2 linked regions of the Rhinolophus ferrumequinum genome follow. The protein of the gene in region 2 purifies or fractionates together with the protein of the main gene of each other region. This does not show direct contact. Links are inferred from orthologs where the notes say so. Each region holds a gene or a part of one and is shown on either strand. Other genes may lie near its edges. The genes, in order: TOX4 and PPP1R10.

Evidence for each region.
Region 1: the proteins of PPP1R10 (region 2) and TOX4 purify together in Homo sapiens (affinity purification with mass spectrometry; 3 studies listed by BioGRID and IntAct, counting the BioPlex papers as one, with this or other methods). This does not show direct contact. The link is inferred for Rhinolophus ferrumequinum from reciprocal best matches to the Homo sapiens genes PPP1R10 and TOX4.

What each region holds. Positions count from the first base shown.
Region 1 is NC_046289.1:72,276,157-72,291,300, reverse strand, and holds the start of TOX4 (TOX high mobility group box family member 4), read right to left. Parts: upstream 6,598-15,144; 5' UTR 6,507-6,597; coding exon 6,501-6,506; intron 6,292-6,500; coding exon 6,223-6,291; intron 5,905-6,222; exon of another isoform or gene 5,887-5,904; intron 1-5,886. Other genes in the region: RAB2B (ras-related protein Rab-2B), read left to right, coding at 6,913-6,958, 7,182-7,253, 9,680-9,747. UniProt on the Homo sapiens protein: Transcription factor that modulates cell fate reprogramming from the somatic state to the pluripotent and neuronal fate. In liver, controls the expression of hormone-regulated gluconeogenic genes such as G6PC1 and PCK1.
Region 2 is NC_046286.1:1,236,579-1,252,389, forward strand, and holds the start of PPP1R10 (serine/threonine-protein phosphatase 1 regulatory subunit 10), read right to left. Parts: upstream 9,286-15,811; 5' UTR 9,175-9,285; intron 8,952-9,174; 5' UTR 8,431-8,951; intron 6,340-8,430; exon of another isoform or gene 6,321-6,339; intron 2,388-6,320; 5' UTR 2,377-2,387; coding exon 2,270-2,376; intron 1,585-2,269; coding exon 1,498-1,584; intron 1,339-1,497; coding exon 1,203-1,338; intron 771-1,202; coding exon 719-770; intron 1-718. Other genes in the region: MRPS18B (28S ribosomal protein S18b, mitochondrial), read left to right, coding at 9,839-9,916, 11,112-11,220, 11,318-11,415, 11,543-11,611, 13,080-13,146, 14,207-14,266, 14,840-15,141.

The sequences.
Region 1 (15,144 bases), on a different chromosome or scaffold from region 2:
CCCCCTGGAAACAGCTTTGTTATTCAGTATCCATGGCTTTAATGGTATTTTTGGGGGCGGATATTTGGGTTATTTGTTTGTTTCTTCCTTAAAGAAGAGTAAAATAATGACAATGATTAATTTGCTGCGACATTCGGATCTGTTTTCCTGTGGCTTGCACTATCAACAACAAAGATGTTTTGTATGCCATACTATGTAACATTTTGAAGTAAATTTTTTTATATCATCAATGTCATTAGATTCTAATTTACCTATACTTAAATCTAATTGATACCACTTAATATGTTTTGAGTATTTTTTGCTAAAATTCAATATAATGGTAAATTTATTACCATATAACAAAGGTTTAAAATAAAATAAAAATCATGTCATTTATGTACAAAGCAGCTCAAAATGTTATCAAATGCATAAAATAGTCAAAATATCAACTTTCTATTTTTTGTGGCTTTTTGACACATTTTGGAAAAAAAAACGAAATCAACGCAGTGAAAGAGTTAAGAATACAGAAGGGCAAAGCACATGCTAGAATAAACAGACACTGATTCTAAATCTCGTTTAAAATCACAAATGATCTGTAGGATTATCGGAAGTTATTTTATTTTAGCACATCTACTACTAGATCATATCCTAGACTGTCAAATATAAAACAAAACTGTAGCAAATATTAAAGTAAAAAGAAATGATGTGGACACAGAAGAACACAGAAACATGATGTAGCTACCTTCTCACTCAGCTTTTTCCTTCTCTGCTAAATTCCTGGGCCTTTTCGGGGGAGGAAGCAATTCGGAAATTACAGTTTATAAACAAAGGTGCTTACATATTGAGAGAACCAAAAAATAAAAAAATCGGGCCGGCCCGGTGGCTCAGGCGGTTAGAGCTCCATGCTCCTAACTCCGAAGGCTGCCAGTTCGATTCCCACATGGGCCAGTGGGCTCTCAACCACAAGGTTGCCAGTTCAATTCCTCGATTCCCACAAGGGATGGTGGGCAGCGCCCCCTGCAACTAAGATTGAACATGGCACCTTGAGCTGAGCTGCCTCCCGGATGTCTCAGTTGTTGGTTGGAGCACATCCTCTCAACCACAAGGTTGCCGGTTCGACTCCCGCAAGGGATGGTGGGCTGTGCCCTCTGCAACTAGCAACGGCAACTGGACCTGGGGTTGAGCTGTGCCCTCCACAACTAAGACTAAAAGGACAATAACTTGAAGCTGAAAGGCACCCTCCACAACTAAGGTTGAAAGGACAACAACTTGACTTGGAAAAAAGTCCTGGAAGTACACACTGTTCCCCAATAAAGTCCTGTTCCCCTTCCCCAATAAAATCTAAAAAAAATAAATAAAATAAAAAAAATAAAAAATTCTATTTCCCTCCTATTTCACATTGCCCCATATCAAAACACACATTCCAATATTTCTTTAAATAGTTTCTTGTGTAGATTATTCATTTTAAAATTTGTTCTAATCCAACACCTATTTATTCAACAGTACGCTGGTATTGTGGGTTATTAAAATAATTGCTCTTGGGGCAGCCGGATGGCTCAGTTGGTTAGAGCCCGAGCTCTGAACAACAGCGTTGCTGGTTCGATTCCCACATGGGCCAGTGAGCTGTGCCCTCCACAACTAGATTGACAGATGACAACTTGAAACTGATGGGCCCTGGAGAAACACACTGTTCCCCAATAAAATAATAATAATAAGTGCTCTTAAAGACATAGTAGTGAAATTTTTAATAATTCAGCCTGAAATCATTACTTGCTTCTAATGTTATAAATACTTTTTCTATTTAAGGATAGGAGTATTATTTCCCCAAAGTGCTCAAAGCACAGTATCATTATATAAAAGTCAAGATGAATGAAACAGAAAGATTAAACTCCCTTCAAATTATCCAGCTTCCCTATTTCAAGCAATGCTGTAACAAATGCTAAGCCTGCCTCTCTGGACACCTACACTTTGAAAATTATTATTTCTTATTTTATTGAGGTATAACTTATGTATACAAATTTTAAGTGTATAGCTCAATGAATTTTTAACATATATAAACATCCAGTTAATTACAACCTAGATCTAAGGTACAGGACATTTCCATCACTCTAAAAGACTTTTCTCCTACTCCTTCCTGGTCAATACTCCTTCCCTTCTGGAACAGATACCACTATTTTAATTTCTATCACCATAGTTTAGCATTGTATATTCTTTTTTTAAAGGTCTTTTAAAAAATTATTAGTTTCAGGTGTACAAAACAACATACTTGTAGTGATTAGACATTTACACCCCTCACAAAATGATAATCCCCTCTAAGTCTACTACCCCTCTGACATCGTACATAGCTGTTACAGTACCATTGACTATATTTCCTATGCTGTACTTTACATAGCGTAACTATATATTTTTTAAAATTATAGTTGACATTCAATATTATTTTATATTAGATTCAGGTGTACAGCGTAGTGGTTAGACGTTGATATAATTTATGAAGTGATCCCCCTAATAAGTCTAGTACCCATTCGACACTCTAGTTTTTATACTACTACTGACTATATTCCCCATACTGTATTTCACATCCCATGACTATTTTGTATCTACCAATTTGTACTTCCTATCCTTTCACCTTTCTCACCGACCCCCCACCCCGCTCCTATCTAGCAACCATCAGTTTATTCTATCTCTGAGTCTATTTCTGTTTTAGTTGGTTGTTTATTGTTCTTTAGATTCCACTTATAAGTGAGATCATATGGTATTTGTCTTTCTCTGTGACTTATTTCACTTAGCATAATACTCTCTAGGTCCAACCATGTTGTTGCAAATGGTAAGATTTCATTCTTTTTATGACAGAGTAAGATTCCATTGTATAAATATACCACAATTTCTCTATCCACTCATCTATTGATGGACATTTAGGTTGTTTCCACATCTTGGCTATTGTGAGTAGTGTGCAGTAAACATAGGGGTGCATATATCATTTCAAATTAGTGTTTTGGATTTCCTGGATAAATACCCAGGAGGGAAATGCTGGGTCATAAGGTAGTTCTATTTTTAATTTTTTTGAGGAAACTCCATAGTATTTTGCGTAGTGGCTGCACCAATTTTCAATCCCACCAATAATAATTCTCTAATGTATGTAGAGAATGCTTTTCTCTACATACTCGCTAATACTTGTTTGTTTAGTGTTGTATATATATATTTTTAATTTTTTAATTTTTTTTATTGGGGAACAGTGTTTTTTTCCAGGGCCCATGAGCTCCAACTCAAGTTGTTGTCCTTCAATCTAGTTGTGGAGGGCGCAGCTCAGCTCCAAGTCCAGTCGCTGTTTTCAATCTTAATTGCAGGGGGCGCAGCCCACCATCCCGCTCGAGCTCTAACCAACTGAGCCATCCGGCCGCCCTCTAGTGTTTTCATATTCCTCATCTTCACTAAAAAATGAACTCAGATAGTGTCTACTTTTATGTCTGGCTTCTGTTATTCAACAATATATTTTTGAGATCACCCAAGTTGCATTTATTAGTAGTTCATTCTTTTTTATTGCTGTGTAGTATTCCTAGATATCTGGGTTGTTTCCAGTGCTTGGCTACTATGAATAAAGTTGCTGTGAATACACATATTTTTGGTGAATATATACATTCATTATATTTATATGTGTGTGTGTGTGTGTGTGTGTGTGTGTGTGTGTATATATATATGTCAAGGAGTGGAATTACTGGGTCACAGGGTAGATATGTTTATCATTTTCTTTTTTATAAGGAGGGCGCAGCTCACAATGGCCCATGCGGGGGTCAAACCGGTAACCTTGGTGTTATTAGTACCACGCTCTAACCAACTGAGCTAACCAACCACCCCTAGATATGTTTATCTTTAGTAGATACTGCCAGTTTTCAAAAGTGGTTGAAATCAATTTATACTCTCACCAGCAATGATTAAGACTTATCCAACATCCTTTTCAACTCGTGGGATTGTCAGTATTTTTAATTTTAACCATTCTGGTGGCTGTGCAATGGTATCTCATTATTTTATTTCCCTAGTGAGTGATGACACTTTCTCATATGCCTAATGGCAATCTGGATAACCTCTTTTATGAAGTACGTGTTCAAATCTTTTGTCCTTACTAAGACTTATCAGGGTGATCACTTCATAAGTTATATAAATGTGTAATCACTATGTTGTACACCTGAAACATATAATATTATATGTAGCTCTAACTAAAAAAAGAAAAACTCTAGTGGTGGCAAAAAAAAAAGTTAATAACAGAGATAGGATTTGAACAGAGGTCTTTCCATCACTGTGCACTGCCTCCCATCATGACATTGCAAAGAATTCAGCACTTCGAAAGTATTCAATAAATAAATCCCTAACATTAACCAAAAAAAAATTTCTTGTGCCCATTTTTAAATTGGATTCTTTCTTTTATTGTGCAGAAGTGTTTGATATATTCTAAATATAAGTTAGATACATGTATTAAACTATCTTCTTGCAGTCTGTGGAGTGCCTTTTTAATTTCTTAATGATATCTTTCAATGAAAAGAAACTACTAATTTAAAAGAAATCCCATTTTTCAATTTTTTTAAGGTCAATACTTTTGTGGACATCTTTTTCTTGCAAGAAAACTCTAAAAATCACTCTTCTTCTAAAAGAAAAATTTTAAAATATTACCTTTACCTAGTTCTATGCGGCTTACAGTAAGACCAGATACAACAAAACCCACAAACCAATTAAAATAAAGGTTAAAAAAAAAACACCAAAAACCGGGAAGGGAAGGTGAAGAAATTGTAATGAGGAGAACTGTTAACAATGACAGAGTCCTAGGCTAAAAGAAGCCACTGAAATTTAGTTATGAGCTTGGCAAAATAGTTTTGTTTTTTAAAATTGCTCAAAGTCACAAAAGCAAAAACAAAGGATAGACTCAAACCTGGAAAATTTCTTGATGAGGCCAAGGTGAAATTTACAAACACTCTAAATAAAGAATTTAAATTCTGGATACCTGATTTAGAAGAAATTGGCAATGATGGACTTTTCATGTGGATATGGCCAATGTGAGATTTACAATACTCCTAATAATGAAATTAAATCATGGAGCTATCACTCAGAAGAAACTGGCAATGAGACTACAAAGCATCAGACAGATTTTAGTTTTATATCGTTTCTAAATTTGCTGCTCATTTGATTCACACTTTCCTCTGCTTAGTTAAATAATAATAATAGCAATAAAGAAGTTAAAAACTAGCAATTGCCCCATGTCGATTTAATTCTCATTCATGAAAACGTTAGGATTTATTACAGGATAAGCCCATTCAACAGCAATTGAGAATTCTTGGTACGAAAAAAAAAAAAAACTGATGCAAATGGGTCACACCACTTTTGGGGAAAAAAAAATTAAAGTCCTCAAAAGACAGTAGAAAGCTCAAGATTTCAGAGTTTCTCAAAGAACAGGAAATTTATTCTTGTCTATTCCATCTTTCTCTTTGCCTTGCCTAAGTAAATGACACATATCTATATTATGACAATTATTTCAACAAAACTTTTCTACAAATACTGAAAGGACCTCACCATAATCATCACTTCTACCTCACAACATCGTAAGAAACTATTATTACAGCTATTTGACAGCTGGGGAAACTGACATACAAAGGTGACCTAACCTCCCCACAATGAGTCACTGGCAAACAGAAACACATGTTCTACTTCCTTCATGTTTTCTGGCAACTACGTATTTCCTTTCATCCTTCACTAGCAAAACAAGCTAACACCATGTACGTTAACATAACTATTAACTTTTTTTTTATCACTGAGTAGAAAATTAATATGAAACAAAGACCCCTAACAAAGTTTGGTTCAAGAATGAACAATGCTCACAGTTAACCCCTGCTGGGTAAACTCCTCTCATCCCAATTTCTTTACCTAAAATATTCTCCTCCTCCTTCAATCCCCCAAGATTGTCGTAGTTATTTCTCCCCAACGTAAAGAGAAAGACAATTCCATTCAGTCTTCAAATCCAGAATCACTCTGAAATACGCTAGCGCTTTCCAACGTCCTGCTTTTCTGATGACAGCAGCTTCCTGGGTCTACCCCTTAGTCCTCATAGGCTCTAGAAGCAGCTGCCACTTTTCTCTAAACACCAATCGCGGCCCCTGGTTCCCATCCCCCGGTCCCTGGCGCCCTCTCCTCCCCACCGCCCTACCCCACCACTGCCTCTCGCCCTCCCCCCCGCCCCCAGCATCGGCACCTCGTGCTCACCTCGGCCCCTGACAGGAAGGGGTGCGAGGGCCCTGTGATCGTCAGGTAATTGTCATTTCCTCCGGGAAACTGGAAACCAAAAGAAAGCCGCGGGGATAAGTTAGGGGGAGCAGGGAGTTAGCTTGTAGCGACGGATTCTGACCCCGACATTCTGACAACACTCCCCAAATCCCGCTCTCTCCCGTCCTGTCAGCCGCCTCTCCGCCCAGCTTCCCGCCTCTGCTTCAACCCGGTCGGTCGCACTCTCTTGTCAGCCTTCTTAGCGCTCAGGTTCCTACCTCCATTTTCACACAACGGCTATCACCGTCTCAGTCCCCTCATCGCTCCCACCGCCCCCACAAGACTCGGAACTGCCGTCACTTCCGCAAGGACATGCGTCGCTCTTCGCTGATTGGAAGGGGCGCGGTAGGGCTGTTACGAGTCAGACCCGGGAAGGCCGAAAGGACGGAAAGGCTAGCTATCGCCCCCTGGAGCTTGGTGGGATAATGGCACATAAGAGTGTTACAGGCGACCCTGGAATCGGTGTCTGGGTATTACCGTCGCTCCGACCAGGAGAGGATTTCTGGGGAGAGCAATAGAGATGTGATCTGGGCTAGAGGGGCTGGAGATCGGCGGATTGAGTGGCTAGACAGGCCGGAGGTAAGTGGCTGTAGAAGTCGGGCGGACCCGGAATCCAGAGGAAACGGGACCATGACTTATGCTTATCTCTTCAAGTACATCATCATCGGGGACACAGGTAAACAGCGGGCGACTGCCCTGATAGCTGGGGCGGGGATTCGAAGTTCCCAATTCGGGTCGTGGGGGCGGGGCTCAGTGGGCTGGGCGATTAGGTGAAGAGGGGGCGGGGGCAGGGCGGCCGGGGGCGGGGCTCGGGGCTCCCCTTCCCCAGTGCCGGACACCCCGACTCGGGACCGCTCCCGGGCGGCGTGACTCCTTGAGCGTGCGTCCTCCTCTTTAAGGTGTGGGGAAGTCATGTCTCCTCCTGCAGTTTACAGACAAGCGGTTCCAGCCTGTTCACGACCTCACAATAGGTAAGTGCATCTACCTGTGCCTGAACAGATAATGAAACATGACTAGCTAAAGTGAAAAGTTAGCAGCCTTCAGGGTTCAAAGTAAAAAGTTAGCTCCGCCTACTTATAAAATAGTCCGAAGTTGTGTTAAATGAAGAGTGACCAATCAAATGCTGTAAATGGGGAGTAGTGTAATGGGGAGCAAATAATTGAAAAGTAACTTTAGAGATGAGCATGAGGTATGAATAAGTTCTTTTTGTTTTTCCAAATGCAATTTGAATGTTTGGAAAATCCTACGAAAGCTAACTAATTCAAAAACTCACCTTACTTTGCGGTAAATTAGTGCTAGCCTCACGTGTGTGTGTTTGTGTGTGTGTGTGTGTGTGCGCGTGTGTGTATGTTAAGTAATTACCAATATACAGATTTTTGTGTGTGTTGGAGAGGAAGAAGAAAATTCAAGAGTCATCCTAGACTTAAAAGGTAGCTGAAACTAATAACTTTTGTTAAAAAGTGTGATAGAGTTCCAGGAGATTCTGGAAAGTATAAACATTTCCTACGTATTTGTGATAAGGCATGGCCTGATGGGGCTTTAGCAACCCCTGCCCCATAATATCCATAACCTCAACCGAAATAAAGAATGCATATAAAACTAGCCTCCTTGCCATGCAAACACAGTTTCTGAATAAAATCCCTAGCTCCCATTCTTACCATATTGTAGATTCTTACCATCTACAGTCCCACCTTACTGAAATCTGAAGCTACTGCTGCTCCCACAGGACTTATTCAGAGCCAAACAACTAAAGGTTGAAAATAATTTAGAGGGTAGCATCAACAGGAAAATATTTTTTTGGAAATGAATGTTAAGTGGACACCCACACTGTGATAAACTAATGATACAGTGTGTAAAAAGGCAAACATTGCGCTTGCCCTTAAGTAGCTTACAGTCTTCCCGTGTAGCAGGTGGGGCTGGGGGTAGATATAGTGTACTGACAAGTAAATTTTTATTGCAAAAAGGGAGGAGAGGATGCCTTTATCAGGAAAGGCTGAAAACTGAAGAATGAGCAGGACTTAGCCAGGCAAAGGGGATATAGAGATGAGGGAAAAGTGATCAGGGCAGGAAAGAATAACATATGCAGAAGCTTATGAATGACAGAGATCAGGCTGCCTTTGGAAAACTGTAAGTAATTTGACACGTTTGGAGCATGAAATTTGAAGTGGAGAATGACAAAAAATAAAGCTAGAAAATAAAATAGAGACTAAGTTTTGAGACACCTGAAGGCAATAGGAGTAAATGACAAGTTTTAAAGCGGAGGAATGACGTGATCAAGTTTTCCCCAGAGTCCAAAATGTGCTGTTTCTTTCTGAAGTCAATCCTTTGTACCAAAATAAACAAGGCAGTTGGATAGAAAATATGTGCAAAATGAAGGGTCTCTGAGTGCATAACTAGAGAAAGTTGCATAAAAGGATACAAAGTTTTATTTTTCAATTCTTCCCCATTGAAATTCCATTCCTATTGTCCAGAAGGGAAAAAAAATAGTGACTTTTTGCAGTAGCTATCACTATTCTTGATGAAGCAGTCTAGAGTAGTAAGAAACATTTTTTCTTTATATCATATTGACTTGAGCACCTTAGAGTTGAGGGTGATATTTTGATGCATTGTATGTGGGACCACTGAATAGGTGCATATCAGCCCATTATAAGAAGCTAGATTAGTCCTCTTTCTTACTTGGAAATCAGAATTCCTCAAGTAAAGTACTGTATAAAAAATAGGAAATAGAACAAATTGTCTGACATATGATCAAGTGTTTTTAATATAAGTGACCTTTGATTTTTAATTTTTGTCCTGATCTTACCTTGAAAGAAGATGAATGCCAGGTAAACCAAAGTCTTTATTGAGATTGTCAGTTTCCATACTCCTATGAGGAAGGCTGTTTTCTGATGAACTCTGGGAATTATTGGAGATCTGAAATATATTATTTTTGAGAACTTATTTCTTAGGTAGGCTCTTTTCTCAAAAAATCTAGAATTGCAAAAAAATATTGTTCCATATAGAGGAGTAGAGAGTGACTTTGAGAAAAATGCTAGGAAATATTTTTTAAAATTTTAGAAGTTTTTTAAAAAGTTACAAAATTAAACATTATCTAATCAAATTAAGCGTTAATTAACATTGCTAAAAATTTACTCACCTTTTCTGTTTGACTTCTTAATTCATTTTATCCCCATATCTGCTTTTTGGTTACATTCTTGAAGTCATTATCACCTAGAACACAGTTTTTAATTCTAGAAAAGAAATGAAACTTCAAGAAACAAAAAACTAATTGGCTCAAATAGTGGCACTGAGTGCAGACAGAGGACGAGTCACTAGCACATTGAAAAATAGCATGAACTTCTCACTCAACATGGCTGTTCATGACAACCACATTTTTTCTCTTGATCTTCACTGACAGGTGTGGAGTTTGGGGCCCGTATGGTCAACATTGATGGAAAACAAATCAAACTGCAAATCTGGGATACGGTGAGAGAGGACAAAATCATTTACTCCCTGACCAGATCCAAATACAACACTAAAGTCTGATGGAGGGGAAAGGGCTATGAGGATGGGAGCTAATGGTGGAGATCAGAGTAGGGGAAGAGTAAAGTCGAAGATATAGGGAAGCTTTCATTTTCCTCTGTTACAGTTACAGATATGAATGTCATAGTTTTAAATTTTTGTTTTAAATTACCTACGTAATATATGAGTCTGTTCTAGTAAAAAATAAAAGCAACCAATATAAGTGTATAGAGTAAAAGGTTAAATTCCCCTTTGCACACATAAACCTCTCTCCCTCCCAATCTTGGTTTCTGCGTTACCAGAGTAACCCACTATCATTGATTCAGACTTTTTCTCTGTATTTAGATACATAAATAGAAACAAATATATGGTAGTGGTTTTGCTTTTATTAGTTTTTAGAATTGTGGCAAAACAGACCTAGCTTTGTGACTAAGGTATTTTTTTTTTAGCGATCTTTATGTTTTGTAGACTTTCCCATGTCAGTACATACAAATCTACCTTATTTCTTTTTTCAATTTTTTAAAATTTTAAAGTCACCTTATTTTATTTCTTTTTAAATTAGTTTTAGGTGTGCAAAACAATGTAATAGTTAAATATTTATACCCCTCACAAAGTGATAACCTCCCCCAGTCTAACATCCCTCTGACATCGTGTATTGCTGTTACAATTCCATTGACTGTATTCCCTATGCTGTACTCAGCATCTTGTGGCTACACACACACACACACACACACACACACACACACACGTTTATTTATTTATTTATAGTTGACATTCAGTATTATTCGGCTTCAGCCTCAGGTGTACAGTACAGTGGTCAGGCGTCTACCCAGTCCATGAAGCGGTCTTCCTAATAAGAGAAGTGCCCATCTGACACCATACAAAATTTTACAACATTATTGATTGTATTTCCCAAACTGTCTTTCATATCCCCATGGCAATATTGTCTACTACATGTCTACGAATGTCTACTAAAACATGTCTACTAATTTGTACTTCCTAATTCCTTTACCTTCTCTCCCATCCCCACCCCCTCCCATCTAGCAACCATCAGTTTGTTTGTTTTTCTCTTATATCTCTGAGTCCATTTCCATTTTGTTTGTTCATTTATTCTGTTCTTTAGATTCCGCATGTAAGTGAAATCATATGTTATTTGTCTTTCTCCATGTGACTTATTTCACATAATATTCTCTAGGTCCATCCATGTCTTAGCAATTGGTAAGATTTCATTGTTGTTTATGGCCATTGTATAAATGTACCATAGTTTCTTTATCCAGTCATCTACTGATGGGCATTTCGGTTGTTTCCATGTCTTGGCTATTTTGACTAACACTGCAATAAACATAGGGGTGCATATATTTTTTCAAATTAGTGTTTTGGATTTCTCTGGATAGATACCCAACAGTGGAATTGCTGGGTCATAAGGTAATTCCATTCTACCTCATTTTTAAAAATCACTGCATAGGATCATAGAATGTCTGTTCCATAATTTATTTAACAATCCTCCCATTGATGGAAATTTCGGTTTCCAATTTTTCACCACTGCAAAGTTTCATTGATCATTCTCATTTATTACATCTTTATGCAGATACTTGAGGATTTCTGTGGACTGCCTGCCCAGAAATGGAAATTCTGGGTCAAGGTTATGCATATTTTAAAATTTGACAAATGTAGTACTGCCAAAATTTAGTTTGACTTAATGTAATTTTGCTTTATCCACATAAATTGTTTTCCTGTGCATTATCTCAATTTGGTTTGTACTTTTGTTTTCTTTAAGAAAAATAATGTTCAGTCTCTATTTCAAGTTCAAGGGAGGTAGCACATATTCCTACTATTCAGCTAAAATCTCTTCCTGTTTTTGATTAATTCATAGTATTTGATTCTGTTTCTTCTCAGAACTGAGAGCTGAAGCCCTTACATCTACAAGCAGTTCACAAGTGATTTTTTTTTCTTTTTTACCTCTCTTTCCCCTCTACCTACCCGACGTTCCCCAATACATGCAGGTGTCTGTCTTAAAAGTAGTTACTTGGTGCTCTAGACCCTTTTTGCACAGAGTCCTTTTCTGTTTGCCTCATTACCACTTTTGGATGCACTGATTGAGCAGCTGCTTTTAACTGGCATGATATTCTCCTGTGCATTTGTTGGTTGTATTTGCAAGCATTTTAATAATCTTTTGCCCTTCTGATCAGATTTTTCATTTTAACCGTATTGGCTTGCCCTAATTATAGGAAGGTGAGTCACTTCACAGCCCTGATAGTAGTAGCATTAACCAGATAACTCTAAAACTTCCAAACTTGCTTCTTTTGGCCAGTTTTGTCTCTAGCTTTCTCCTCCCAATAAAGCCTAAATGGTATTACTCTATATCTGTTGCCAAAGTTAAGTTCATATATTTCTTAAACAGCTGCCACTTATTTCCTTCTCCTTTTATTGCTGGGGTCCAAGGTTTTTTTTGTCATTATTAATCCAAGTAAGTTTTGCAACTCCTTTTTTATTATCCCCTGGTTTTTGTATTTCCCACAAAGATATATTTGGCCCCCTAAGAAGGCCACAGGACAAATTCTGAGGAGGTGACAAAGAGTGAAGCCTGTGAGTGTCAAGACTGGTATTAGCTAGATTCTGCCTTCTTAACTTAAACCTCTGTCATTTCCAAAACTGTATCTTTTGACGCCAGGAGACATAGTAGCTGCCAGTTAGAGGTATGGTCGTGGTCATAGAGTGTCTGAGTGTTGGCTTGCTGACTTTTTTCCCCTTAAGTGGTAATATGAAACATGATGGACCATAAAATAAGAAAGTTGAGAGCCACTGCTCTGCTGACATGATCCTCAAGAATCATATGGCCTGATAGTCACTTGAGATGCAACTGGCCTGGTTCTTTTCTACTTCCTTTTAGTAATTGCTTTGAGATTGGACTAATCTTTGTTGAGTAATTTAAAAAAATCAGATTTCAGAATACTGGGTTTTTCTATTTATTTTGAAATTTTTAAGAGATTCCTACCTATAATGTATCTGTCTCCTTACACTCTCCATGTAAGCCAGACGTTTCTCCCTTATCATCCCTGATCCCCTGTGCATTGTTTAGCCCCCTTGGGTTCCCACTTCGTTGACTCCATTTCTTCACTTCCAAAGCCATCCTACATGCAGATGTTTCAGGATTACCATGAAGGGTATTTTTAAAGAGATCAAGTTATCCAGTTTTTTGTTGTCACTGTTCTGGTTATTGAGAAGGATTTATAGAGCCATGTTACTTCTTTTTCTCTTTCTTCATTCTGTATGTATAGTTGCCCAAATAACCATGCTAAATGAAGAGGCATTGTACCATAGCTAATATAAAATAGTGATTAAATAATCCCAAATTCATTTGTATTTTACTTTGGAATGCATTTTGATTCTTAGGAAATAAGCATATCTGACTCTGTAGGAATTGATACTTCCAACTACATATCTTAAAACTATAATATGATGCTTCCACTTGAGAGAAAATAGAAAACTGTTAATTCTCTTTATCAAACCTCCATCTTAGTCTTTGCTGCTTCAGATTTTTTTCCTGGGGTTGGACAAACGTACCTCAGACTGATGCAGAGCAGCCCAAATTGAACTGCTCACTCTTTCTAGCATATTGGCTCACAAACTTTGGTTTATGAACTGGACTGAGATGAAGAAGTGAAGTGATTTGATTTTAAAAGTCATTTTCTGATGACCCACTGGCAGTATTTTCAGCTGCTAAAATTAAATGCTGCCATGTGATTCAACCATCACGTGGGCCTCCCTTAAGCTTTCTCTTTTAGATCCTAGTGGGCCACAGGGAAAGAGGGTCTTTCAACAGTAGCAGGAGAGGGAAAAAAGTCAGTAACAGATAAAAGCAAAACAGGAATTAATTTACGACATAAAACGATTAGTCAATAAATAAAACTTTGAGTTCTTGGGAGGGAAAAAGTATGTGTTATATCTTAAAGCATTACTAATATTACCAACAAATTCTTTAGAATTATTTTTGGATTCTCATGTTTTAACTGGTATGCTACTCAACAAAACATTTGTATGATTCTTTTGTTGTGGGAAAGGGAACCTTAGAATTAGTGTACTGGAATTCTCTTCTCACCTTCAAATCCGGGTTTAGAGTATATGATGTAATGGCTAAGGGAACAAACATCTGTGCTAGGAAGTACTAGGATCCTAAGTTTAAGTTATGTATTCGACATTTATTGACTTTATAACTTTTGGCTAGTTACTGAACTTATCGCTTTGAGCCTCATTTTCCCCTTTGTGTTATTGTTAGTATCAGCACTATTATTGTTATTATACTATAAGAAAGCCATTAATTTTCCCATGTCTACATTTTAGTTTTCCCATCTTTAAAATATGAACAATAGTCTTCCTTCCCTACCTTTATGTGGGGATATAAGGATAAGTGATTTCAAGAATGTGAAAACTTTCTTAATAGGGTAGATTCAATGCCCAGGGTATTCATATTATTATTTAAAAGATGTTTTTGCTTCCTCTAAGGGAAAAAAAAAACAAACCTATTCCATCAGGAAAGCAAAAGTACCCAGTATGTGGGGGCATTAATAAATCGCTCAGTTATGAGAAAAACTTAGTATCTTGACCCCAGCTGGAAATGAGATTAGAATGTGAACAGTTGGATTTTTTTAAGGAACACTCTGTCCTGGGCCCTGGGCTTCTTTCCCTGTTCTTTATTCCTATTTGCCATGACAAGATCTCAGCAAAGGAACATTTTGGTAGTCCTGCTTTTGTTAGTGGAACACTAAAGGTCAATTAGCATATGCACAATTTAAGTGCTTGGTATCTGACTAATTTTCTACATTGATCCATTAAAATGAAATTTCCATTGGACGGGATATTGGCATTCTAAGATAATTTTCTTTTTTACAGATAAAGGAATAGAAACAGAAAATTAATGTTAATTTCATGTGTTCAACATCATGTTTGGATTGACAGTACAACATACTCTGAGTTTCTAGTCCTGTTTCCAGTTTTTCTTTCTTTCTTTTTTTTTTTAAATATATTGGGGTGACAATTGTTAGTAAAATTACATAGATTTCAGGTGTACAATTCTGTGTTACATCATTTCTAAATCCCATTGTGTGTTCACCACCCAGAGTCAGTTCTCCTTCCATCACCATATATTTGTCCAGTTTTTCTTTGCTAGGAGACATTAGGAAATGTATGGAAATGTCTCTGATTGTCACACGGACTGTGGGGTGCTACGGCACTTAGTGCCTGGGAACCAGGGGTGTTAGTCAGCAATTTGATAGGTAGTCTTACAGGAAGAATTGACCTACCCAAAATATGAATTGCATTCCCTTTGAAAAATATTAATTTCCCACCTGGGTTTCTCTGTGG
Region 2 (15,811 bases):
CAAACCTGAACTCTGACGAGGGGATCAAGCTTTACCACAATACTGTTCACCTGCTGGACACTAGTGTCTTGTGCTCCTGATTTATATCTTTGGATACAAACCCTTGGGTACAAACCCTTTTCTGCTCTAAAGAAAAGGTTGTGATTTCAGGAGCCAGGCTCTACCTTCAAGGCAGAACTGTCTGGCCTTCGCCAGGAGGTCTGAAACCCTTCGTCCTAGAAAAGGGAAGAATCTGTTGCTATCAAAGCTATGATACACTCCAGGAGTCGGACTCTGCTAGGCCCTTCAGGAAGGCATCTATTAGTAGGACTAGTACCTCTGTTATTAGCAGAGTAGACATCGCAGGTCCCAGAATATACGGTGTTTATTCAGAAAAAAGGAAGTCAGTGATGATGAGACACTCTAGGATGACACTATTTCCCCCAAAGAATTTTAAGTGTCTGACTTTTACACCAAGAGATCTTAAGAATCAGCTTCTAGTTAAAGTATGGGACCTTGTCTTACGCTCATGAGCAGAGAAATGGACAAATCCCATTCGGAATTGAGAGTAGGAGAGAGGGGACAGGTTAGAGGAAGTACATTTTTAAAAGAAAAAGAAAAGCAAAGGGAGGTAGGAAGAGAAAGGAAGGTACAATCCCAGGATGGGGAGAGAAACAAAGGAAGCTAAGTGGAAGTGATGGAGGCAGGCCCAGGACAGAGAGGAAGGACTGGCCCCTACCTTCATCCTCACTCGACTTGCTCAGTTGCTTCACCAGTTTGGCTGTATTGTTCTAGGAGAGACAAGGAGCAGCAGGAAGGTAAATGCCAGAAGGACAAGAAGTCCACTCGGAGCTCACAACCCCCCAAACTCACTCACAGACTCTTAATAGACCTTTAACAGCAACTAACACTAACATTGTACTTTCCCCTTCACAAAACCTTTGTAGATACAGTCTTACTTAATCTTTAGAACAATCCAGTTAGGTAGGTACAATTATTCCCATTTTATAGACGAAAACAACTGGGGCTCAGATATATGAAGTGCCTCGAACCACATGCCTATTAAAGGAGATAGATTTGTACCAAGTCTTCTTATTCCAAATTCCTATTTTTCCTACCATACTCCCCCACGGGCTAAGATCACTGTCCGGTCAGGCAATGTGAGTTTTTCATGTTACACTACACCAAAAAGGACGCACTTGGATGGTAAAGACTGAAGGTACCTGCTTGAGATGGTCCACAGTGAGTGGTAGATGCTGCAGGGTCAGGAGAATTTGCTGCAAAAGGGGAATGTTGTTGGTTGTCTTTGAATACGTCAACCAATTGTTAAGAAGTTTGTAGCCACCAACGTCAATAAACCTGTAGGCAGGCAGGAGGAGAATATGTAATGTCCTCCTATGTTTTAGAAATACCACATCCCACTCTCAGTTCCCCATCAACAACCCAGGAATCCCCTGCCTCCCCTTCCCCACCTTCTAACTACGTCTTCCCATCCCAGCCACCCCGATTCCCACTTACTTGACCAGTATTTCTGGTGAACGGGTCTGCAGGAGAATGTTCAAGTAAGTGCATCGACTCACCATCTTTCGTGCTTCCTTCATCAGACTGTAGGGGAGAGGTTAGGTTACAAGAGAGCACCAGACTGCCTCTGTCAGCAGCAGAGTCTCCATCTGCGGGACTGCCTGGAGGTCCCTGATGACTTGGGACTTTGCTCCACAGTGGGAGGGTCACCTGGGCCTCCAGGAGGATGGGATGGAATCAGAGTGAAATGGAAACCCACAGGAAGACGGAGAACTGAGGAGACACTGAAGTCTCTGATCTGGGGAGGTGAGCATCACTGCTTTGAATACACAGGACACATTTGATTCTAATTCCAGGTGGGGAGCCCTAGCCCTCAACAACCAACCCTTAGTACCCTGTTCAGGACTGGCTTAGTCATTTGCTTCCCCTGGGAAACTTCAGCATCCTGGAAGGAAAATGAGTTTCGGTATGTCGAACGTGACCCAAAACACAACAAAGAATGTGGTCACGTGACTCCACGCTTCCTTCCTTCCTAAAGGTGACTCCCTTGAGACTGTGGCTATCCAAATATCTACATCCATTATGGCAAGGAACCAAGGGATCATCTTTTCCTACCACTTATTCTAAAATTATTGGATTTGAATCCTATTCCTTTACTGATTTTCCCCTTCCTCTCCAGGAACACTCGGTCCTGTCTGCCTTGATTACAGCCATATCACAACATATAACATCCTCTTCTCACAAGGAATCCAAAAAAGGGTGGACTCACCTGAAGATCTTGGAAATCCCATCCACACTCTTGACTTCCCCATCTCGGTTAAGGAAGCTATCCAGGCCCTTGAGAAGCTCTTTGGGGTCTATGGGACCTGAACCCATGATCGAGGTTTCTAAAAGGACAAAACAAACCCACAGAATAAATGGGTGGCAAGGAGAGTCCCAGTATGCCTTCTAATAAATTCTACTTCTACATTTGACAAAATATAGTGACTAATTATTCAATCTATATTCAACTACACTCACCATTTTCAAGAAAAACCAACACAGACCATTGTCACCACTGAGAAAATAGCCCTGGCCAATTAAGCATGGTGTTCCTCATGACTGAATGGAAAAACAATTCAGGTGGAGGACTGGAGCAGCACCTCTCTCCCGCTCCCAATTACAACCTTCCTAGGACAGCTGAACTTCCTTAGATTGTATTAAAATTAAGATTTACACTCCTGTAAGAAAATGCTCAACTCTCCAAGGCATTTTTGCTTATTGTTAAGTCCTGTCGCTTCCTTGCTGGTAAATATCATTTGAAAAACAAAACAAAACCAACTTGTAAGACCTGGGCCAATCTTGGGTGCTTGGGCTAAATGTCTTCTAAGATTAGTCATTCCTTTTTATCTTAGCCCATTAAGAGTCATAATTACAAGTGGCAGGATATGTTCTGCCTACACCAGTAGACAATCAACTAAAGTGCAGGTGACAGAGAAGAAACAAAATTTGAAAAAAGAATCTCTCCCCAGGGGAGGTGTGGGTAGCTCCCAGAAACGGAGACAAATGGATGCAAAGAAGTCAAGCAGGTCCTTCTAAGCCTTGAATAGAGTACCACTCACTAACCAAACACTGCGTAAGTTTTTATTGTTTCAAAGTTAAGGGCAAGATTGGTTTGTGGTTTCAAAAGCAAGGATGCAACTCTGGCCCCCTAATCCCCCGCGCCCCCCAAATCATAGCACCATCCAAGATCCCCAAGAAAAGCCTGAAATTAGAAACCATGGAGCCAAAAAGAATAAAGCTAGAAGCTGGAAAAATGCCATTAAATTTTAAGTAGCTACTTTAGACAAGGTTAGAAAAGGAGTTAATTAAAAGTTAAACTGCTGTTATGGGACAGTATGAAGCAATTTCTAGGCCAGAACCCAAGTTCCAGAAATGTAATTAAGAATCAACATAGTTCGGATTGGTATTTTTATCCACCATGCCTCTAAACACCGGCTTCTGAGAACCAAAAGAGAATTCCACCTCAGTAGTATCTGCATTTGGGAAATAAGGTTAACACTGGGTTGGTAGGAAGGGGGCAAGGAGAAAACCCTGCATCCTGCTTCTGGAAGTTAACAGACACTATACACGAGCAGAACAGTGGGAAAATCAGCGTTTTACAAAGGTGACTATATTTTGTGCAGAAAAGAGAACAGGTTTTTTATAAGAAATTATTAATTCTATTTGTTCTCAAACCAAAAAACGAACAACTGTTAACAATTTCGGCCTTTTAGTCCTCCCAACAAAAAGGTAAGTTAATTTCTAAATCAGTAGGTCCTAACAACTCAGGCAAGAAAAGGCAGAAGCAGCAAGGAGGCTTGTTCTTGAAGCTGAATAAAGGGAGGAGATGAGCTAAGAAATGCAGAGAAGTGCGCAGATCTGGTTTAACTGTGCGGTGACTGCTGCCCTGGAAGAGCCCCAGGACAGGCAGAACCTGAAGTCAGAGAGGAAAACACTGTAGATAGAATACCAGGCAAGACTAGAAGCCCCTAGGGCCAAATCCACTGAACTGGTGATTGTTATACAGAAATAGACACAGGGATAAAGGAATTTTTCCCATGTAGTAAGACACTATCATATATAAACACTATAAAGAGAGAGAAACGATAAAGATATATAGAACAGATTTCCCATCTATTGAAGACTGAAAAATGAACGAATCCAAATACATATTAGCAAACAAGGTAATATACAACTTGACAAAAAGCCTTCCATTAAACTAACATCACTTCAAAACAGCCCCCCTAAATACAGCTAACTCCACTGATTTAAACCCAGAATTGAATATACATCACTTTGGAGAACTCCTATTTATATACCCAACTACCAGCTAAGTCAACAGGCCTGCCACCCCTACTTCCTTCAGAAACTCAAAAAATTATCACCTGAGCTCAAATGTTCCTTCATTTAAGAGGGTGGAGGAGAGACAAATTACTATAAAGCTAAGTTGTCTAGTGCCTTCTGCTGGGAATGGGACCAGGGACTTGTTCATTCCCATTCGTAACAAGCCAGAATAGTGAAGAGAAGCTACGAGACAAAGCAGTAGAAAATGTTATTCATTTTCCACTATTCTTTTCCTATATAATTTTGAAAATAAACAAAACTAAGTTTATCTCATGAGCACCAGTCATGTGATCAAAATGTTAAGTGGGTTCTCATGATGGCTTTCCTACAGGGAGATTAGCTTTGACTCATTTTAAAGTCCCCAAGTGTCTTGACAACCTGATTTCCTTCCTTCGAAGTCAGTACATTTTGAAAGAAGTCCCAAGGCACTCAAGTGGAAAGGAATGAGCCTAAATCCTTGGCACAGGCCTCCAGGAGAGAAGGCGAGTGAGTTAACCAGGAAGAACGAGTGGCCAAGTGTCAGAACATCACCTAGTCACACATGGCGCCTGGCCTGGAAGCCTGAGGAAGCTTTCTGGAGCCAAAAACAATCCAGGGCATGATATATTTTAATTCCCTTGAATGTAGAACATACAGGAGAGACAGGAGCAATCCCTGGCCTGACTCCACCACATCCTGCACTGTGTTCCTCACGGAGGATGCTGCAGGCAGACCCGCCCTAGTGGCTGACACAGGCACTGGCCAGTTTTCTCCTATTCTTACCAGAGATCAAATTTTAAAGTCCACAAGCGGCACTGACTCCTGCCTCCAAAATGAATTTTACTTGAGCGTTGATCAATTAAATAGGGTGAAAAATACTTAGTTTGGCTGAAGTTGTTCCATACCTATCACCAATAAAACAGAACTGGATTGGTTCAGGACAAAAATTCTACACCAAGTCAGAGCCCTTTTCAAAATACTCCTCTAATCAAGGAGGAAGGAGTCAGTTCCCCTTTAACTTGGAGACCTCAGCACTTGGGGAAATGAAAATGTTTCATACCCAACTCCTTACATTCCGCTTCCTTTCCTGTGTTTCAGGCATTTCCTCATACGACTCAATAGCAGACTGAATTATGTCTCAGGTGATTCATAAGGTTGTACCTCTTCTAAGTAGTAAGCCCCTATCCCTCAGTCATTTTTAAAACTTGGTACATGATCTCCCCAAAAGCTTATTTGTAAAACTCAAACCCCCGCTCCCTCCAACCCCATCCCAATAGGAAAGGATCCCAGAATAGAACACTGGCCGAAAACTACAAGATCAGGTTCTCCGAGGTTTTCTGGATGTATTTGGTTTCCCTAGAAGACTTTTTTTTTCCCCATCTCCCATGTTATGGAACATCTTCTTTATTAATCCCCTGCTCACTAGAGATCAGGAACCCCAGTGGGCAGAATGTTCAGCTCCCAAGGAAGGTATGCTGCAGAGGCACAGGGCAAACTGCTTAAAAGATAAAAAAACTTGTCATCAGTAGACATGTGGAAGTGTCCCTCCCATCCAATCCAGATTAGTAATTTGAGAATCCATACCCAGTAGAAAATTAGCCCTGAAGTCTCACCCAAGTCACCACAGGGCCACTGTACAAAAAGACTCCCCCATTCTGCCTAGAACCTCCACGCTTCAAAGTAGGACTTTAAAAAAATGAAAAATATATGGAGAGTCAGACAGATTTGACTTTGAAAAAGTTGGAGGAGGAAAGAAAGGGACAGGATACCCAATTCCACTCTCAGACAGGGCATGGCTTTCGAACATGCACCAATTGCCATAGCACTGCATGAATTGAGAAATGAAGACATTCTCCCATTAATGTTTTTAAGGAATTCCTTTTGGAAGGTAAGGAAAAAGAAATTCAAAAAAAGGTGGCTCTTGGGAAAAAAGAAATGAAGGTTGTGAAATGTAATACCAGAAAGGTTTTGCTTACCAGAAACCGTAGCTTGATTCCCCCTGCCTTGAGTTTACAACTGCAGCCTCCTTTCCTAAAGATTCACTTCTCATCCTAGCACCAATGTACAGGAGCTAAGCAACTGGAGAACGTGATACAGCACTGAACACAAAGAGTTTACCCCCAAACCTTAAGGCGGGAATAAGGGTGACTTAGAAGAAATTCCTCAAATACCCACCTTCCCCCGCCCCATACAAGGTGACCAAATGCAGGACGCCCAAGGACTGGTTCCTGAGCAGAAATGGCACATTTCAGTGTTATTAGGCCCCATTTGTCTCAAGTTACCTTCACAAGCCCTTGTCTTTCCCCAGTATCCCCCAACACACATATATACACACAAGCTCACACACACTACCCCCAAAAGCTTCCGTCTTAAAGGTATAGTTGGTTTAACTGGTTTTCGACCCCTAGCAACTGAAGCAGGGAAAACTTCCAAGCAAGCAGTTGTGATGAGTGAAAGATGAAAATAAAAGCAACAGCCTGTTAAATATACAAACTAGAGCTGCCCAAGGAGATGTACAGCTTGAAGACCTCATTCCTGTAGGCTTTTTCCCTTTTAAAATAAAGGCTATAAAAGGTAAAATTATAAGGAAAATGTCTTTTCCTGGCTGCGTGCACAGGAGTCCAGGAGGCATTTGCTCAGGGGTGGAGTTTCAAAGAGGGTGGAGAGACAAGAAAGCTGATTACATCACCTTTCAGTGCTGCTCCTCCCCCTTGACCAAGTTTCTAGGGCGGCCCTATGCTCTGGACGGCAAAAGAAGAAAAACAAAGAAGCAGGGACGCCATTTTGTAATGGAGAAAACTTTAAAAAGCTATTCCAGCTCTGCCGGTAGCTAATTACATGAAAAAACACCCTTAGTTTAAAAAAAAAAAAAAAAAAGAACGAACGAAAACCAGTCCCCCCATCCTTAAGTCTCTGAGCTATTTTGAGTAAGAGCGTTGTGAAAATAAAAGCAATTAAAATATTAAAAATAACAATTTTCTGCGGGGAAGAATTGAATTTGCAATTAAGGTTCAACCTACCATCGACCACCCCCATCCTCCCTATAAAGGCAAAGGGGGAGGACTTGGACCCCTCTCAACAAATAGGGTTGAGATAGGACAAGAGAAAAATGGGAGACACAACCTGCAAAACCGCTTGGAAGACAAAGGACAAGGAAAGTCGCCATATTGAAGCAGGGAAAAAAAAAATTCCTTTTAACGACACAAATTTTTTAAAGCTAGCATTCAATTGCACTAAATGGCTTTTAAATTATACTCCTGAATTTCACATTTCCCAACCTTTCCACCCTCTACTTAACTGAATTCCACCCCCCTCAAAAAGTATCAAGTTAAAATGTTAACCTTTTGCTTTTAAATAGCCTATGCAAACTGCAACAATTACAAAACATTTACTTCCCCAACTATTATCTTGTATGTACTGGCACTAGGATTATATTTTGCCCTGAATTAAGTGTCTTGCAATCTTTATTCCTAGATTGCCGCCTATTTTAACCACACAAATATACCCCAAGCATATTACATAAAAATTGAGAGGATTTAACAATCATCTTAAAAGTCATAGCCAGCTATTTCTCTCTGCCCATCTCCTTACCCTGCAATCTTTATGTACAGATTGCTCATTAATCTGGCAAATTGAAAGGCGCCCTGTTTGTCTCACACACAAAGAAGTGGGACTTCTGGGCCATGAGATCCACCGTCTTTTGTATGTGAGCTCATTAACCCTTTTGAAGACTGCTAAACGGGAGGAAAGTAACCATTCCCCCTTATAAAAAGCAAACACTATGGCTTTGGCAGTCTGGAAATTGGCTGGATTACCAAGGGTTAACCATCAAAATCCTCACTTTCTGGCTCTCCCTCCACCCTCTCCTTGCCTTCAGCAGGCAGGGGAGAGGTAGGTGGTAGAAGAGTACAAGACTGTTTAGACCCAAAGGCCCTTTTTAATGGAGATTAAGTGACCGGCTTGGTCCTTTCTCCAGTTCTCTATTTTGTTCTATGGTCTCATTTCTTCCTCTCATTATTTTTGGTTTCACAAAGGGAAACGTTGATTTCTTGTTGCAAGGCTCGTTTTTGAAAATTCGACACTTACTATCCAATTTTTTTGCGACGTCAGCACCTCGGGCTCAGGGGGGAGGGGGTTAAAATTTGAGAAAAAAATAAACCAACCAACCAGGACCCAAAACTCTTATTTGAGGGGCCTCATTGGATCAAAAAGTCTCTTAAAAAAATAAAGGCCAACTCAGTATTCATTTCCCCCCCACCCAACTCCATTTAGGGAGGGGGGGGTCGCAGAAAAAAAGTTCTGAGTGGATTCAAAAAAGTAAACGCTGGATAAGTGAGTTTGGGTGGGTTTGGGAAGGGAGGGTGGTTGATTATTTTTGAAGTTATGTGGTGACGGTCCTTCGGCCACAGATTTCAAGTCCCAAGCAGCGTGGGCTGGTGGGGTGGGCAAGATAGGTGGGAAGGGGCAGAAGACACAAGTGGTTGGGCTGGTGGCTGCTGTTTTCCCTTTCCCCCCTCTCTCAGGATCCTTTCAGGGGCTTAGATGTTGCTGCGGCTTGTTTCTTTTGTCCTCGTGGCCGGCCTGTCTTTCTCCGAGAAAACTCAAACCTGGGATAAAAGGAACACAAGGGAGAAAGATGTAATCAGTACGGGTTGGCTTTAAACACCCCAAAACTACCATCTTTGTTGTCCCAAACACCTCCACGTCCAATGCCGAACACAGCCGCTTTATATAAGTCATGGCTCCCAAATAAATCCATGCCTAACCCGTTTTCCAGTCAAACCTCTCAATAAAATTTCACCCTCTAACCGACAAATTACCGAAACTTACCTCTAAACGAACCCCAGAATGGCGGATGCCCGGTCCGGTGGAGTATTTTATACCGGGACGCCGCCCAACGCGCCCAAACGTGCTAGTGTAATTCCCTTGTCGCGAGACATTGTGCGCGAGGCGTGAATTTATTGGTCAACCCGAAAGACAACTCGCTAGCTGATTGGCTATCCTTCCTTCGCCTTCGCTCAGCCCACCCTCCCCTCCCCGCCACCCCTGGGACCTTTTTCCTCCTCCTTCCTGGGGGAAGGTGTGGGGGCCGCGTGCGCGTGACCTGACAGCCTAGCACCGCCTTTTCCTCTGTTTCCGCCACTTCCGTCCTCAAGAACATTTCTCAGCTTGGGTTGGTAGAACCAGGTATGCGCATGCGCAGTAGTAGGATCTCGGTCAAAATCGCCTTCAAAATTGTTTAAAACGCAAACTCTAAGTATGAGATCTAAGGATCGTAGTGACTGGTAGAGCAAAAATTCAATTTGGAGGCCGAATTTGATTGTGACGCAGTTGAAATTGGCTTCTCCACATGACCCCCTTTCTCGCTTCCGTCCTGACGCAAGTGCGTGGCTGCCTCCCGCATTGTAGGCTCCTCCTTGGTCCTACCCTAGTCAGTTTCTCGGAGCATGCGCAGTCACTTTTCCGGTCGTTCCACCTTCGGACGTATGTCAAGATGGCGGCCTCCGTAGTGACTACGCTGCTGAGGCGCCTTCCTAGCGTTTGGTCCTTCAGAGGTGCCTACGGAGTTCAGGTAACTCCTTGGAGCACATTTTGTACAACCCTAATTTAGTTATGTGTTTTTTAGGTTGTCGCTCCACTCCTGGGAATCCAGGAGCGGAGACTTTCTTAAGGATTTTTTCCTCGGGTGTCTAGGCAACACTTCGTTACCACCAGTCACCCTTTCCCCTCACCGTGCTCAAATCTCCGTGCATTTTTAAAATCCCGAGCCGAGGGCAAAGAGACAGGGTTAGAGTCATCCTCTTCCCAATTTATCGTGTCGGCTAAATAACTAAGTGAAGGAGTGGAACCCCCTCTCCCTCGGTCATGCACAGCCAACTCTTTAACTATGCAGATGGTGTCTAAATCTGTGATGCCCTGCAGTGTCCTTGAGCTCAGGGACACCATTTTCTATCAGCCCTACTATCTCCCAGTGAAGCCGGGATACATTCTCTGGACCTGATACAGGTTCCTCAGCCGTCTATGTCACTAAATCACTTTATTATGAGAGCATACATGAGAATTTAACTCAGCCCTTTGGATTGAGGTTTCCCTTCAGCCTCATGTACTCACCACCCTGGAGGTTCTTGGTAGGGCAGGGCAGGTTCTTGGTGGGGCAGGGTGAGATAGGAAGGATTGCCCAGCTCCACTCCCTAAAGTGGGACTGAAGAGTGGTGATGGGTCACCACGGCTTTAATGACAGGTCTGGTAGCTTTAAAGCTAGCATTAGGACTCAGCTTGTTCTTCCCTATGGAATGTTGACCTTCAACTTTGTATAAAACTGGGCAGCTCTGATTCTGGATTGGATTGAGTTGGAGACTCACTTGTCCTATGTATGCTTTCCCTGCCACACACTTCCAAGAAGCGAGACATCCTCCTTTTTTCTTTCTTCACCCTTTTCCCTCCACTGGACTCAATTTGACTCCAAAAGCATGACTATCTTATATGTGCCGTGTTTTTAAGTTGTCCTCTCAAGTAAGATTGCATCTCGGTCACCTATCCTAGTTATTTTCTAACATTATCTTCTCTTTCAGCATTGAGATAGGGAGAATGGTTGTTGTTGATCTCACAACAAAAATGGCCCAACAAAAATGCTACCTTCCATATATATCCCTGCTATATTCCATTAACACTAAGGGTGTGCACACCCCTTCTCCCTGAAGTGTCAGCAGCAAAATAATCGAGTCCTTCCTTGAATTCATTTTTTAATTTTTGCCCTACTTTTACAGGTTCCTCTCCAGACTCTTTGCACTGACGTCTCCCCTGAGGAAAATTCTTTACCCCCGGTTCCCATTTCCCCTTATAAAAATGAACCCTGGAAATATCTGGACTCAGAAGGTACCTCTTAAGTGGTGAAGCGGAGGGTCATGTGGGGTCTGAAATAAATGGGCAGAGATACCTGCTGCATTCTTACCGGTGTGGTCCTAAATTTCAGAATACCAGACCCGCTACGGTTCTCGCCCCGTCTGGGCTGACTACCGTCGCAACCACAAAGGTGGAATACCCCCACAGCGGACTCGAAAGACATGTATTGTGAGTTTCTGAGGGTGGCACATGGATGGGATGTAAAGTCGGGGTGGAGACCATAGTGACAGTGGCAGCAGCACTTTTTCTGACAGGGCTTGGAACATCTTCACCTGCCAGTTTCTTCTCTCTGCAGCGTAAAAATAAAGTTGCTGGGAATCCCTGCCCTATCTGCCGGGATCACAAGCTGCACATCGACTTTAGGGTAAGGAGAATCTTTTTTCCAGGATAAGAATTTAAAGCTTCTTTGTAATGTTATACAAATTTCCAGGGGTGCCCCACTCTTCATATCCCGGCACCCCTACAGACCATTTTGTACTGGCTTTCTGGCACTATAAAAACATCCCTCCCTCCAGCCTTTTGCCTTCTATGGATTATAGTGAAAAACTTCATCCCTTATCTGTGAAATTTATAGTCTAAATTGGGAGGCAAAAAAATCCTATTTCTGATGGGACAGCAATGCCCAAACTTTATGTATATCCATCACAATTATTAGCAAGTAGGTTGGGTTAGTTTTTTTCTGAAGTTTTCTTTATTTCCTTGTCATGTTGATGTTTGGTGGCATTCTGAGACTTGCAGCTGGAGGGCAGATACATGAAGCACAGTATAGAGTCTAGTTATTTTTTCAAAAAGCCTTCATTGTGAGAAGGACAAGACTTGCTCCTTAAAAAATTCAAAAACTTCTTAAAACTGAGCTTGCAGTGAAGGTATTAGATCAGAAGCTAAATGGCTGGTCATCAGTGAAGCTGGAGGGCATTTATGTATCAGTCAGCGGAGGAGGGTGTCTGACTGTTCTCAGGCCCCATCTGACACAAGTTGTGGAGGAGTCCAGTGGGTGACTTCTCAATTTCAGCTGTGTGCAATTGGTTAATAAAAAGGGATTCTAACCATTTTTTTTTTCTTTTTAAATTTTTATTGGGGAACAGTATGTTTTTCCAGGACCCATCAGCTCCCAGTCATGTCGTTGTTTTTCAATCTAATTGTGGAGGGCGCAGCTCACTGGCCCACGTGGAGATCGAACTGGCAACATTGGTGTTGTGAGCGCTGTGCTCTAATCAACTGAGCCACCCGGCCGCTCCAGTTGTAACCAATTTCATACAGTTTATAATGACATAACAAGGAAGAGAGAAAAGATTACAAATTTCATAGTGCAGATGATTCTGCCTGCCATTCTACTCTACAAGTATACCTGCTTTTTCCTTGGGTCTCACTTCCTGTGGTTAATTTGCAGCTGTAGAATCAGTCTATATAATTAAAACTGAAATTGATCTGAGTAAATATATATATTATACACAGCATGCTGTTACATACCTTAATCATTCATATACGCACACTGTAACGTATACTACATTTTCTGGGTGATTTCAGGGATTGCCACCTGACAGTCCCCAATTTTTTTGCATGAGGGCTGATTTTAGAACCTAACCCCTGCGGAAGAGAATTCTGAATGTAAGATGCGCATGTGAAATGGTTGAAAGGCAGGAAAGGGGAAATATTTGCTGGAATTTTCAAGAATGTGTTCAGTAAAGCGATGGGGCCAAAACTGGGACATGAAGGAGGGTAGCATCTGGAGAGACGGGTTAGGGTCGTCTGTAGGAATTGTGCATATTCAGTCTCTAAAGGTCTTGGTGCTTTCCCCTCTCTCTCTCATTTCTCCACTCTTTCCGCCACAGAACGTGAAGCTCTTGGAACAGTTTGTCTGCGCCCACACGGGTATCATCTTCCATGCGCCATACACAGGTTAGCCCATCACTCCTGTCACCATCAGAATAGTTTTTCCTGGGAGCACTTCTCGTTTATTCAGTCAGACGATAGGTATTTGTTTGGTGGCTGCCACCAGCATAAAAAGTGTGTTTGAGCCTTTTGGAAATCGTGGCTTAATGGAGATACTGACATGCTAAAACTGTTACATGTAGACAGAATTTACAGACGAGTGTCATTGTAAGCAAATGATCTAAATGTAGCTCTTAAAAATAAATAGTGATGCTTATTTCTTTAGGGTGTCTTCAGTTTTACAAAAAGCTTTCTCAGAAATTGACTATCCTATAAGTTCTTTTATACCATTGACCATTAATTGTAAGCTTAACAGTTCAAGATTAATCTATTCCTAACCACGGCCACAGGCCAAATTTGGCGACCCACTATGTCTGTTTTCATATTGTTTACAACTGCTTTCAGGCTACAACGGCAGAGTTGAGTAACTGAGACAGACACTCTAGGACCCACCAGGCCTAAAATACATGTCCCCATACAGAAAAATTTTGCCAACCCCTGCTCTAAAGCAAGATGAATTTGTAAAGAATAATCTGGACTTACCGTTTTGGGGATGGCAGCATGATTAGTGGAGTTCGGTTTGTCAGGGAGTTTTAAAGAGGAGTTTTGAACTCCTGTCAAACTGTAAAAAACTGAAGAAACTATTTTGGTACTCTCTGAGGTTGGCTTCCCCAGACCTGCAGTATTTTCTTTATTGAATTTTTCTCTTTGAATTGTCCTACCCAACCCTTTAACTAAGCACACTTGCCCTTTGACTTGTGTTCTGCTCCCTGCCTTGGAGCCTTTCCAATTAAATGGCTTTTCTATAGTGGCTGGACTCTCCTAAGTTTTCATCCCAGCTCAGAGAGAGAGAGGATTCTTCTCATTGGGCAGATGGAGGGACAAGCGCATGGAGGAGTCAGGAGAATAGGGTCATTGGATAGAGCCAGGTCTTCCAAACCCAGCCCTCCATCACCATGGAGAAGAGGTTTTATTCCTTATTTATGCCTTATAGAATGAGCACTGAGTTTCCTTTTTCTTCCCACAGGAGTCTGTATGAATCAGCACAAGAAGTTGACCCAGGCTATCCAGAAAGCCAGGGATCACGGTGAGTGTGAGAAGGGGCACTGAGCAGTTTTGGTAGGCTTCAGGAAGGGGATTGAGGGCTGGATGGGTATAAATGCTCCCACCAATCTGAGAAGCTAGCACCCAACACGCTCATCCCAAGAATCTCTTTCATCACTCCACTGTCCCTTGTTCCCTCTCCCGAGTCTCTTGTCATTGTCCTGTCCCCTTGTTCTTCCTCTTTCCTTCCCCTCCCCGCCCCCTTATAACTGTTGGTCTCAATGCTATAGCTAGATCCTAGGAGGATGTTTGTTCTTTGATAATTTTGATATATCAATTTCTGGCCCTGGGCTCCATGATACCTTTGCACAAATTAGGAAAAGGTACCCCTCCATTAGGGCAGATGCCACTGCGTAGGCCTGGTGCAGGGCTGCGCAGCTTGGTAGGCAAGAGCCCAGGCAGTGTGTCAGCCCACGCTTGTCCCCTTGGCCAGTTGGCCTTTGTGCATGTACATCCTTTCCTCCCTTTATAGCTTATTTTCATTACTGTCTCTTAATCTGAACTACCCCACCTTGCTCCCTTCCCTCACTCTCTCTCGCTCTGTTTAATCCCCTAGGTCTCCTCAGTTACCACATTCCCCAGGTTGAACCTCGGGATCTTGACTTCAGTAACTCTCATGGAGCTGTGAGTGTTACTCCGCCAGCCCCCACTCTGCTTTCAGGGGACCCCTGGTACCCATGGTACAACTGGAAGCAGCCGCCAGAGAGCGAGCTGTCCCGCCTTCGCCGGCTCTATCGAGGCCATCTCCGAGAAGAGAGCGGCCCCGCCCCTGAGTCAGTGCCTGAGGTGCCACCCACAAGCCGAGCTGAAGCGGCCCGGTGCAGGCGGGTGCAGGCGGGCCCTCGGAGCGCTCTGTAGGAGCTGTAGACAGGGAAGGCCGCCTGAGGGGTTAGGAGCCAACACCTAGGAATTACATGACGGGATTTCCTGTGAAGAATGGTGTCTTGTCTTGTGGCCAGTGGCTGGCTGGTCCAGGGCCAGAGAAAGGAAGTGGCTGTTGATGAAGGGGATGAATACATCTGAGGCTGAGGGAGGGCACTACAGACATCTGGGAAACCCTAACCCAATGGTGTGAAAAGATGGGCTCGACATTCTGTTGCTGTTTCAGACTTGTGCCAAGTCGGCTTTTCCACAATAAAGCTGTGTCTCCTGTGTCGGCTGACTGTCAGATGAATGGCATGCCTGTGGGGGAACGGGTGCTGGTGTGTGGGGAGGAGTGGTCGGCTCTGAGCCAGCCCCACCAGTGACTCGAGGGACCGCCCAGCAGCCACCCGGCATGGGCAGTCGCGGCATTCTGTCATGATCACCTACGTGAGCCCCTGTTCCTGAGGCAGTGTTCCCACCACGCCCGGCTGTTCAGTAGGGGCTAAAGGGCTGGAGAATAAGACGCTCGGCCGAAGAAAAATGCATTGCTACGGCCCCGACTGCCTTGGGAGTGCTGAGGAGAGGAGCGTTGCGAAGGCGACTGGTCTGGCGGAACAGCAGAAGGAAGGAGAAGCTGAGCCCCTCCCAGCGCAACCGGGAAATA